Daphnia pulex: one gene and its partners. The protein of the gene in region 1 interacts with the protein of each later gene in a pairwise test. Links are inferred from orthologs where the notes say so. Each region holds a gene or a part of one and is shown in the gene's direction. Other genes may lie near its edges. The genes, in order: S-phase kinase-associated protein 1-like, F-box only protein 11-like and F-box/WD repeat-containing protein 7-like.

Evidence for each region.
Region 2: the proteins of S-phase kinase-associated protein 1-like (region 1) and F-box only protein 11-like interact in binary tests that used the Caenorhabditis elegans proteins (3 or more experiments, as listed by UniProt). The link is inferred for Daphnia pulex from reciprocal best matches to the Caenorhabditis elegans genes skr-1 and dre-1.
Region 3: the proteins of S-phase kinase-associated protein 1-like (region 1) and F-box/WD repeat-containing protein 7-like interact in binary tests that used the Caenorhabditis elegans proteins (3 or more experiments, as listed by UniProt). The link is inferred for Daphnia pulex from reciprocal best matches to the Caenorhabditis elegans genes skr-1 and sel-10.

The regions. Positions count from the first base shown.
Region 1 is NC_060019.1:12,034,355-12,037,411, reverse strand, and holds S-phase kinase-associated protein 1-like, read left to right. Parts: upstream 1-1,143; 5' UTR 1,144-1,170; coding exon 1,171-1,301; intron 1,302-1,550; coding exon 1,551-1,681; intron 1,682-1,828; coding exon 1,829-2,037; intron 2,038-2,137; coding exon 2,138-2,314; 3' UTR 2,315-2,407; downstream 2,408-3,057. UniProt on the Caenorhabditis elegans protein: Probable essential component of SCF (SKP1-CUL1-F-box protein) E3 ubiquitin-protein ligase complexes, which mediate the ubiquitination and subsequent proteasomal degradation of target proteins.
Region 2 is NC_060018.1:284,191-288,584, reverse strand, and holds the start of F-box only protein 11-like, read left to right. Parts: upstream 1-1,594; 5' UTR 1,595-1,798; coding exon 1,799-1,904; intron 1,905-1,987; coding exon 1,988-2,338; intron 2,339-2,403; coding exon 2,404-2,569; intron 2,570-2,633; coding exon 2,634-2,830; intron 2,831-2,901; coding exon 2,902-3,264; intron 3,265-3,334; coding exon 3,335-3,637; intron 3,638-3,716; coding exon 3,717-4,133; intron 4,134-4,197; coding exon 4,198-4,394. UniProt on the Caenorhabditis elegans protein: Substrate recognition component of a SCF (SKP1-CUL1-F-box protein) E3 ubiquitin-protein ligase complex which mediates the ubiquitination and subsequent proteasomal degradation of target proteins including blmp-1.
Region 3 is NC_060019.1:12,535,843-12,540,238, forward strand, and holds the start of F-box/WD repeat-containing protein 7-like, read left to right. Parts: upstream 1-1,453; 5' UTR 1,454-1,831; intron 1,832-1,916; 5' UTR 1,917-2,045; coding exon 2,046-2,213; intron 2,214-2,280; coding exon 2,281-2,429; intron 2,430-2,588; coding exon 2,589-2,946; intron 2,947-3,010; coding exon 3,011-3,196; intron 3,197-3,261; coding exon 3,262-3,660; intron 3,661-3,727; coding exon 3,728-3,907; intron 3,908-4,005; coding exon 4,006-4,187; intron 4,188-4,264; coding exon 4,265-4,396. UniProt on the Caenorhabditis elegans protein: Probable substrate recognition component of SCF (SKP1-CUL-F-box protein) E3 ubiquitin-protein ligase complex, which mediates the ubiquitination and subsequent proteasomal degradation of target proteins.

The DNA.
Region 1 (3,057 bases):
TAATGGATCTTGTCTAGGGCATCTGAGCAGTTGGAGATCAACTATAGAAGGTGTTGATAATCAAGCTCATAAGCTGAGCAATCTTGGCCTGGAATGTCATAGTCTCAGCTTCATCTTCCATTTGATCTTCTCCAGGCATCTAAAAAGGGAAAGGAAAATATTTCAGTAAGAAATGTTTGTCAATTGTGGTAGATTGCACTCACAAATTGAAATTCTACATACTATCTATGGACTTGAGGCATACCAAAAAATGTGTAAAAAACCAATTTGTTTGTCTAAACCAGTAGTAAAACTGGTAAAACTTACTTTGCTTTTAAACGTAAACAAACAAACCCGACGCTTTTCTGTTCACGTTTGGTGGGGATCTACATGTATACAAGGCCGCCGGGCAGTCGTAAAAACTGCCACCAAATTCGCTTCTTGTTAGGCCTGCAAACTATAGCTTTGGGTTGACACACATCAAGCCGGGAAAGTGAGCCCGTTCGACTTTGAATCGCTGTGTAAAAAATACAGCTATTAGTATATCTTCATGTGATCCATTTTGAAGACCTTTCTTTGTTTAATCTCTTTCATACAAAAATTTTCATGATAAGTAACACATTTACGTAAATTTTGTATTAATGTTTAGTGTCGTTTTGAATTTGCAGTTTGAATTGCAGCGGTGGCGTTTCGAAACTGAGCCCCGTTTGACTTAGAATCGCTGTTTTAAAAAATGAATATATTATATCTTCGTAAAATGTGATCCATTTTAAAGAGATTTCTTTTTTAAATCTAATGCCTACAAAAATTTGCGTGATTGGTGTCACAATTACGTAAATTTAAGTGTCTAATTACTGCAATTGAATTTTGCAGTTTGAATTGCAGCGGTGGCGTGTCGAAACTGAGCCTCCTTCGACTGTGACTAGAATCCCTACGGGAAACTGCGCATGGCGCCATGGCTTGGAAAAAATATTTTGGGGATTTGGCCATCTCGAATTGTGCAAAACCGGAGAGAGAAAAAAATCAGTTAATTGGTTTTATATATTGCCATTTGCCAACAAAAAGAAATGTAGAATACACAGAAGTCAAAACTCAAAAATCTCGAAAACTGGAAAAGAACACGTTTTTCATAAAAACCGCTTTAACATGACTGTTGGTATACTTTCGCCCCTTCCCCTCCGAGTGTATACTATGCGATGCGAAAGTTGCAGTGATGTTTTCCATCACAGAGCGAAACAGGGAGGAGAGGAGGGTTCATTTTTACTGAACATTTTTCAGACCAGCACCAGCGCCATTTGCTCTAGAGCAACCTTTATAGAAAAGTACGTAATTTGCTTAATTTTTTGTTGAACTCCAAGCTTAATTTTCTCAACATTATTACAATACGGACTAGAGAGTTAGAAACTCGAAAATGTACCCATAATGTTTGAGATAATTCCCATAATGATGTGATTTTCTTGACTGTTATTTTTGTTTGGAATGTGTGTGCTGGTTCTCCTGAGGGCTTGATCCATTCATTGTTCTTTGCTGCTGGACTTTTGGTTATCAAAAAGTTTTTTTGTGTATTTCAGTTTTCAGAGAACAAACACAATTCACACAATGCCAAACATCAAGCTGCAGAGTTCCGATGGAGAAACATTTGAGGTTGATGTCGAAATTGCCAAGTGTTCAGTAACAATCAAAACAATGCTTGAGGATCTAGGTAATATTTTTCAATAAGCTTAATGTTAATGTAACAAATAAAATCAAAAGTTGCACCACAAAGATATTTATAGGCAAATGCGTCATTATTTTCTTTTCAAATGCTTAAAAAAGGTAACGTTCAATTGAAATTCAATTTTGGTTTTAGGAATGGATGAAGATGACGAAGAAGTTGTTCCTTTACCCAATGTCAATTCTGCTATTCTACGTAAAGTAATTCAGTGGGCAACTTACCACAAAGATGACCCCCCACCACCAGAGGATGATGACAATAAGGAAAAACGTACTGATGATATCTCATCATGGGATGCTGATTTCCTCAAAGTAGATCAAGGAACTCTGTTTGAACTCATCTTGGTAAGTGTTCATTTTCTGATATCACACCTATGAAAACATTCTACAATTGTTTTAAGTTAAAAATGTTAGTGAAATGTAATGTACATATTTTTGTTTTTAGGCTGCCAATTATCTGGATATTAAAGGCTTGCTGGATGTTACTTGCAAGACTGTTGCAAACATGATCAAGGGGAAAACCCCAGAAGAGATTCGCAAGACCTTCAACATCAAGAACGATTTCACCCCTAGTGAGGAAGAGCAAGTACGCAAGGAGAACGAGTGGTGCGAAGAAAAGTAAATTATCTCGACGAAATTTTGTTTTCACATGTTACATGTACCTTTGTATCCAACTTCATGTTTTCAAGCCAAGAATACAATAAATTAAAAAGCAGTTTTAAGTGTATAGTCAAACAAAAGAACAAGTTGTACGAAGTTCCGTAGTGCACTGGTGAATTAACTGTATGTTTTAAAACAGCTCGTGCTTTAGACAACCTCCCGTTTTGCCAATTATAATGTACAAGTTTTGGTTTTTTTGTGTGTGTGTGTGTGTGTGTGTGTCAGTGTGTTGAACACTGCATTATTTTTAGATTTTGTTTCGTTAGATGGTCTCCTGAAAATGAGCATATCAAGAAAAAGATAAAGGGACTCGCGGATTATATCCGGGCTTAGCTACTAGAAATGCTTTGCAAGTTAGACACCATCATTGGTTTTCATAGGTAGATGATAGGCATGATACCTTGACGGCTTGACCATTAATTTTATAATTTTCCCTGCATACGTTTTGTATGCATAATATGTAGTGTTTCTTATAATGTGCATAGATTGCATTTTCTTCGTAGAAATAATTGTTCACGGGAAGTCGGAAGAAAATGTTCACTGGTGCGTGCTGATGGTTGCCGAAAGTCTATTTAAAAATTAACTATAGATTTTAACTTAAAATGATCAGTAGTATTATTATGTAAGGGTCATGAGATGATGAGACATTGATTGAATCACCACTCCGGAATGCGGAAGCATTCTCAATAAGTTCCTTTGAATCGA
Region 2 (4,394 bases), on another chromosome or scaffold:
TGGTCACATTTGTACAATCTGCTCAATCAACTCTATCCTCGCTCCTTCTTCTCAGACTCTATATTTTTTACACACGTACAGTACAGACACACACACACACACAAACCACATATAATATATATATGTATGTATTACACACCAACCAACCACAGACACACAATCCTTTCTCTTTCCGATTCCTTAATTTCTCTGGTTTCTCTTTTTTTTTTTTAGCTCCGGTTTATTTTTCAGTCAGAAATTTACGTTTTTGCTATCGTGATGATGTTGGTGACGGAATATGTTTTCTCCCCTTTTTGTCAAATTTGTTTTTTTTTCCCCAACACGTTGAGGCTATATTTGAAAATGACGTTAAACAAAAGAAATTCTAATATTTTAGTTTGTACAGAACAATTGTGTGTCGAGTAGGATCAATGGCAAATAGATAAGAGCTGGGCGCGCCAGGAGGTCGACGATATATGTTATACACATCCGATAGAGCTCAATTTATTTGGTTTCTTCATCTTTTTTTCTAGGGCACTTTCCCCATCTTCCCCAACCAACCACCATTTAGAAAAAATAAGAAAGAAGAAAACCCCAACCGATTCTTTTTTTGTATTATTGCGTGTGTTCTGTGTGTGTTCTTTTCTCTTTTTCCCCTCTGTTTCTCTTTCCAAAATGTGTTCTCTCTCTCTTTCTAAAGCTGACGTAGTACGTGCCGCATTTTGAACATTTTCTGTTTCGTCTCAAAACAAGAGAAAAAAAAAAGTCCGTTCGTTGCAGCGCAGCGGATCGGCCGGCCCACACACATTTGACACGCGCGCTCGTGTTCGTCCCTCGATAGTGTTCGATTGTTATTAAACTTTATTATTATAAAAAATTTAAAAAAAAGGAACGTAGGATTTAAAAAAATATTGGAGGAGGAAAAAGAAAAAAGAAACAAAAATTTAGCAATTTGGAGAAAAAATTTCCCTCAAAAAATTTATTCGATTGTTTTTTTTTTTATTTTTTATTATTTTTTCGTGTGTCTCTTTTTTCCTTTCTCTCTGTGGGGTTGTAATAATAATAACGCTTGAAAGCTCTATGTTTGTTGGATTAAATCTTTTTCGTCGTCTTTTTATTATTATTATCATCCCCCCTTCCATCAAGAAATAATGGCTGGTTATGGGCCTTCTATTTTGACAAAACGAACGATTGCTGGCTGGTGGGTTCTAATCGAAGAAAAAATACAAGAACTTGATTAACAAAAAAAAAGTGTCGTTTTATTCTTTCTAGGTGGTTTTCGGGACTGTTATTGTTTCGTGACTTGATTCACGGCGCGTGGGAGGATAATAAACATCCATCAAATAACAACCAAAAAAAACAGCTGTTTGGACAAAGAAGCATTTCAGCCGATGCCGCCGGAAGGCCCCCACAATACGAGGGCTCTATCCTTTTTATTTTCTGTTGTAAGGAAAGGGAAAACGGGGGAAATGCGTTACTAGCCCAAACAAAATGTGACTAACACACACACATACAGAAAAAGCCGAAAGAAAGAAAAAGAAGCCATTGCCTGAAGCATTTACCACGAAAGAAAAGATTTGTCGTCCATTTCCTTTTTTCGATCATAGATGTCTCTAGCAGAACACATTGTACAAGATGGCCGATGGTGTATGCGCTCAGTCACAAGTTGTGTTGACACTAAAAAAGTGAGATATTCCCATGAAAAAAGCATTATGAACCTCCCGTAGTGATTGTTTCTCGCAAGTTTATCATCATATCTGGACATTCTTCACTGTTTTACTGTGCTGTCGCCAAGAAAAGTGGGAAAATCGTTAGCAAAATGCCCAGTCCCTCGCTGCGTTCACCCCTCTACTCCCTGAGAAGGTCGAAACGGAAGGGCACCAAGAGAGGTGCTGCTGCCAGCAATAACTCCCGCGTCAACTCTGGTAAGTCCATCTCGCCATTCTTTCTCCCACATCAGTCCCACTTCTCATTCAAAATGTGTTTCACAATAACAAACTTTCCTTAGATGGGGAAGAAGGGGCAGGTGAAGGAAATCTCCAAAACAATGCATCGTCAGCCAACAATGAAAATCCAGTCTCAGGATCTGTTGCTCCTCAACCTGTTGTCCCTTCGGCTGTTGGTTTAGTCACCGGTGGGGCCTCAGCTGCTGGACACCAACCACCTTATGATCTGAGGCGCAAGTCACCACATCATGATCCTGCCGCTGCAGCTGTAGCACCCAACTACCCGTCAGGCTGCAATCCGAGTGGCAGCCTTTCGTCAAATTCAGCTTGTGCAGCTGGTCCCAGTGGCTATGCAACGTGTATGCTACCTGCAAGAAAGAGGCCGAGAAGAACCTGCTACACATCATCTGAGAGTACGACAAATATTTTTCGTTTTATCCTGGCTGTCTCCTAATTTGTTTTAATATTCAATTTGCAGATGGCAACTCAGTTGATGAGCAAAGAAGTGCAGCTCATTACCTCCAGTATGAATTACCTGATGAAGTTCTCATATGCATATTCAGTTATCTGTTTGAGAGAGATTTATGTCGGGTCAGTCAAGTCTGTAAACGTTTCCAGAGTATAGCTAACGACACAGAGCTTTGGTATGTTGGTGTAAACATTTCCGAGATTATCATTCAGAGATTCATCAACATTTTGTCTCGACAGGAAAACGTTGTATCAGCGCGTTTTTGAGTACGACACGCCATTGTTTCACACGGGAATCTGCAAATACGAATTTATAGCGATAGAAGAATCCGAATACGACAATCCTTGGAAAGAGAGCTTCAAACAACTCAATCACGGCGTCCACGTCAGGCCGGGATTTCAAGAAAAGGCCCTTAAATACCCGTCACGCTACAAAGGTTTGTCGTGAAAGTCTTTGGCGTCGCTTAAACGTTTTATCATTTTTCCATCTCTTTTTCCATTCTTGTAGGTCGTTCGATTGCCTATTTCGATACGATCCAGTCGGCGCTGGAATTTTTCGACGACGCCGAGAGTCCGCTCGTGTTCGTGCACAAGGGATCCTACCAGCGCGAGTACCTGGTAGTGGAGAACAACGTCAACATTTTAGGTTGTTCTTCGGGTAACGTGGCCGAAAACGTTACCATCGAACGAGACACGGAATCGACGGTGACGTTTATGGAAGGTGCGAGATCTTCCTACCTGGGCTACGTCACGCTCAAGTTCAGTCCAGATATCTCATCGTCTGTTCCGCATCACAAACATTACTGCCTTGAAATTGGAGAGAATTGCTCACCCGTTATCGACCATTGCATCATCCGCAGCAGCTCCGTCGGTATGTTTTTGTCGTCATTTGTATTGGTCATTGCTTTGTGACTCAATCTTTTTTTCTCCGAATGTTGCAGTGGGCGCCGCTGTATGTGTAACCGGGTCTGGTGCGGAACCCATTATCCGCCGTTGCGACATATCCGACTGCGAGAACGTTGGCCTTTACATCACCGACCACGCTCAGGGTCTTTATGAGGACAACGAAATCAGCCGCAACGCTCTGGCGGGCATCTGGGTGAAAAATCACGCCAATCCGGTTATGAGAAGGAATCATATCCATCACGGCCGAGACGTCGGCATCTTCACCTTCGACAACGGATTAGGCTATTTTGAGAGTAACAATATCCACAACAACAGAATCGCTGGCTTTGAAGTGAAAGGTTTGTGACTTGTTTCCATTTTTAATGCGTCCCTTGTTTCGCTAACAAATCTGATTGTTGCTTCATTTGAATTTAATAGCAGGAGCAAACCCGACTGTGGTGCGGTGTGAAATCCATCACGGCCAAACGGGGGGCATTTACGTTCACGAATCCGGTCAGGGCCAATTCATTGAAAACCGGATTCATTCCAACAACTTTGCGGGCGTTTGGATCACCTCAAATTCAAATCCGACCATCCGTCGGAATGAAATCTACAACGGCCACCAAGGCGGCGTTTACATATTTGGAGAAGGCCGCGGTCTGATTGAGCACAACAATATTTACGGCAACGCTTTGGCAGGCATACAGATCCGCACCAACAGTGATCCAATCGTGCGGCACAATAAAATCCATCACGGCCAACACGGTGGCATCTACGTCCACGAAAAGGGCCAGGGACTCATAGAAGAAAATGAAGTTTACGCCAATACCCTGGCTGGAGTCTGGATAACCACAGGTAAATAACTGATAATTGTACTTCTCCTCTGAATTGAATTAACCCATTTTTTACACCTCATCAGGATCGACTCCTGTTTTAAGGCGAAACCGAATTCATTCTGGCAAGCAAGTGGGTGTCTATTTTTACGATAATGGACATGGCCGTCTCGAAGACAACGACATCTTCAACCATCTATACAGTGGTGTGCAGATTCGAACGGGGAGCAATCCCATCATTCGCCGGAACAAGATTTGGGGTGGACAAAACGGCGGAGTTCTC
Region 3 (4,396 bases), about 500 kb from region 1:
CATATCCTTAATCCCAATAATCTTTTAAAAAAACTATCTTTATGGATTCATTGACGTACGTCCGATGTGTAGATTTTTATATCGTTCACGTGTTGAGTCCATGTGCCTGTTTAACATTTCAAATAACATTTTCAATATAAAATAGTTTCAACATAAAACAGACCCAGTAAACCGTAGCGCATGTTGGTCTCGTTCGTCATTCACAATCGAACACTATCAAATGACGCAACGTATGTTCGTTAGCTGCAACGACGACTCCATTGTTTAAATAGGCGCGCCTAACCTCACACCTCTTCAATCCGGTGCTTCTGCACTTAAATGAACCGGTCAAAGACCAATTGCTGGTTTATTAAAAAATATATAGATTTCTCAATGCCCACACAAAATGTGCATCAAAGTTTCTTGGCAATTCAATGAGCGACCTATTTTCATGACTGGGGAAGCGACGATAATGCCCGATGAAAGAGCGAATTCAACATTCAACACAAGATCACCGAATGTTTTGTGCTGCGCTTACTAATGATCTTTTTGAAAAGTTAATGCTAATACGGTAGCAGCTATCACTCCGAATCCGAGAAATTTTGAATGTCATGGGGCAATAAACGGAATTGAATATTGTAACAATCAGAGAAAAACGAAAATTTGTTACAATTATATTATTAATGAGGACGAACCTTCAACTTTTAAAAAACCTGCGAGATATCGCGTAAGTAGCAGTTTGAATTTCTTATATCGAACGTTTATAATTCATCGCGAGTCATCTAGCGATAGCTAGAAAAAGCAAGATTCGGGCGCCCTTTAACACTGCGTAGCTGCTATAATGTGTACAAAAATATAGATACACAATTTAGTTGGATGAATACTTAACTGGCTATTGGTTGAATCGGGTTCAACTTTCGTCCAACCGTATGAGAGAACTAGAACTCAACATTACGCAGTAACGTTTTCAACAGAGTTGAAATGCTTGAGAAACAATTTGCACCAAAACTTCCATTGTTATTGAAATTGTGGCTTTAATTCAGTTGGATCTGTAAAGGGCTGATGGTATGAAGAGATTCAAGGGGGACATTTCAGGAGGGGGAACGATGAATAGCGATGATGATCCGTTGAAGTTTCAAGAACTGAACAGTTAGAAACTTAAAAAAAAATATGATATAATACTCTTTGATAGTAATGCAATACAAAAATATTATTAAGGGTGGGGGATGTATGTACAAAGAAAGGCGGGAAAGATGAAATGAGGTAGGCCCACGTATTGGCCTTTAAAAAACCGCCTAGCTTTGTTGTTTAAAAAAGGATAATAATTACCACTATAAATTCGATAGTAACACTGTAAACGTGTCAAGTGGGTTTTGCTACGAGATTCTAAGCGAAATAAAGAAAAAAGCGCATGTGATGACGACCACAGGGCGCGTCCAGCAACTGGGAAATGTTAACAAGCAATTTGGCAACGCTTTTTAGTCCAGCATATATCGTTGTCTGTCTCGGCTTCACCATTCGTGTGAAACAAAATTCTCTTTGATGCTGATCCTCGTGTACAAATTTTTTTCTATATTTACGCTCTTTGTGAAATCGAAATGCCCGAATCATTTTAGTGCTAGATTTTTTCTATTTTAAATCCTTTATTTGATTAAGTTGTTTTTGCCCACCCGTGCTTGCGGAATATTTTCAAAATCGCATTTTAAAGGTCTGCCCTTGTTCCCAAAACACTACACACTATCAAGCCCTCGCCCATATCATTAAAAAGATTCTACTTTTATTTTGATTGCACTTTTTGACTCGTAACGCCATTATAATTTTCGCTGCACTTTTCACTGGATTTTTATCGACGGTAAGTGTGAATCATTCTTGCTTTGTTTCATTATTGTTATAAAAAGAAACCTTTATTAACAACATTGAATCTTCTTTCTTGGCAGATGAGATGACTAGTGTTTAATTGAGGATATGAGTTGTTGTCTAGGCAGCTGTGTTTTGGTTTCCTAGTAATAGCTCAGCTTCTCAATCTCTAGCTTACGTAGCAGTCAGAAACCCAGCAGAAATAATTTATGCCAGCGTCCAGAGGACGGAGTAGTGGGAGGGGCATGGGCGACACTGCTAATGAAAGTCTAGCTCAGAGAAACCTGGTAGACATCAATGTGGCTACTGTTGAAGAGCTTTCCACCTTGGTTGGAGTTGGACGCAGCAGAGCTGAAGCCATTGTGGAAACCAGAAATGTAAGTTTAGGATTAACCCAACACCAGTGTGTTTTATATGGTTTTGACATGTGTTTTTCCTTTGTAGTCCCTTGGAGGATTTACATCCATCGAAGATCTAAGTCTGGCTCCAGGTGTGGGGACAAATTTGATTGAAGCCAATCGTCAGATACTAACAATATCAGTACCAGCTCAGTCGTCTCAGGTGAATGCAAGAAAAGCCAACACTCGGAGCAGGTAAATAGTGTTATACAATACTAAATTTATACCCCCTTCTCATGGTTTTGCTATTAGTGTAGGTATATTTCTTTATTGTTACTCTTATCTAAGCCTTTGTTCTTTGGATTAGGCAAAAATGCGTCATTTGATTCTAAACATGTTTTGTTGTTGCCCTAGAAGCAGTGATAATACAAGCGCTCAACCGACTCCGAGCACCACACCAGTGATATCTAGTTCAAGTGATAACGCGACAGAAGACCAGCAAAACGACAGTGGAAGTAGCAGCAGCAACGAATGGGGTGCTTGCCGTTTGAGGCAGCGCCGGTCAACAAGCAGAATAAATCCACTGCCCGTTGGCAAATCGCCTTCGCTTCGACAGACTCGGAGCAACGATAGCATCATTCAATCGCCTCCTCCTCTCCCCACAACACCTACATCATCGACACCTACTGCTCCTGCCAACGACGCCAGCAATGTATCCGTTAAAGAGGAATCACCCACCTCGGAGAATGATGACGTCGCCAGACCAGGAGCTGTAAGTTTATCCAACACTTATTTGTTATTAAGAACATGAATTTAATTAAGGTGGTGTGTTGTAGACCAAGCGCAAGTCGGAGTCGACAGCTGAGATGGCAGCTGAAGTAGCCACGGAGAAAAAAACATGTCGAAGGGGTGAAGGTGTTGATTCATCTTCCTCGTCAATCTACTGCCATGTTCACCGTAATCCGATTCCCTCGAAAGACAATCCTCCGCCAGGATTTTGCCAGTGGCTTCACACGTTCCAAGTATTTTTCGTCATTCTCTCAACCACTAACTCATTGCTAAGAAAAACCATTTGTTATCATTGCAGTACTGGTCGAACGCTGAGCGTTTATGTGCCATTGACCAACTGATAGAGCTGTGTGAACCCACTCAGGTCCGTCACATGATGGCTGTTATTGAACCACAGTTCCAACGCGATTTCATATCGCTGCTGCCCAAAGAACTGGCTCTGTATGTTCTCAGTTTCCTCACGCCTCGCGACTTGACTCGCGCCGCACAAACCTGCCGTTGTTGGAGAGTCTTGGCTGAAGATAATCTCCTCTGGCGAGAAAAATGTCGTGAAGCGGGTATCGATGACGTTCGTGATACTCTAAATAAGCGACGTCTTCGCGGATCTTCCCACCACTCATCTCTCAGTTGTGGTCTTTCTTCCCCCACCGGATCTAGCCAAAACAATGCACCAATTATTACTCCGTCACCCTGGAAGGTGAATAGATCAATCTGGCTTAAACGTTAATAGGTTGCAAGATAATATTGATTCGTTGCATTTTCAGGCGACTTATATGCGTCACCGAAATATTGAGTTGAATTGGCGAGTGAGGCCGATCCCACAGCCAAGGGTATTGAAAGGTCATGACGATCACGTCATCACCTGCTTACAGTTTTGCGGAAACCGCATCGTTTCGGGATCGGATGACAACACGCTCAAAGTCTGGTCGGCTACTACGGGAAAGGTAATTCATTGGGCTTTCTGCCTAGACAGGACAAAGACTTTAAAAACGCGAAATGTCTTAAGAACAGACAACCATTTAATTGTCATTTCACTCAACAGTGCATGAGGACTCTGCAGGGACATACGGGAGGCGTTTGGTCCTCTCAAATGCAGGGAAATATTATAGTCAGCGGGAGTACAGACAGAACCTTAAAAGTCTGGAACGCTGAGTCTGGACAGTGTTTGCACACATTATACGGCCACACCTCCACTGTCCGTTGCATGCATTTACACGGAAATAAGTCAGTCTTTTTATCAGATATTTGTAGCAAGCACTCTTACTAATTCAACTGTTTTCCTTGATCAAAAATGAATGTAGGGTGGTGAGCGGGTCACGGGATGCAACGTTACGTGTATGGGATGTTGAGACGGGCGAATGTTTACATGTTCTTGTTGGTCACGTCGCTGCCGTACGATGTGTGCAATATGACGGGCGTCTGGTGGTTAGTGG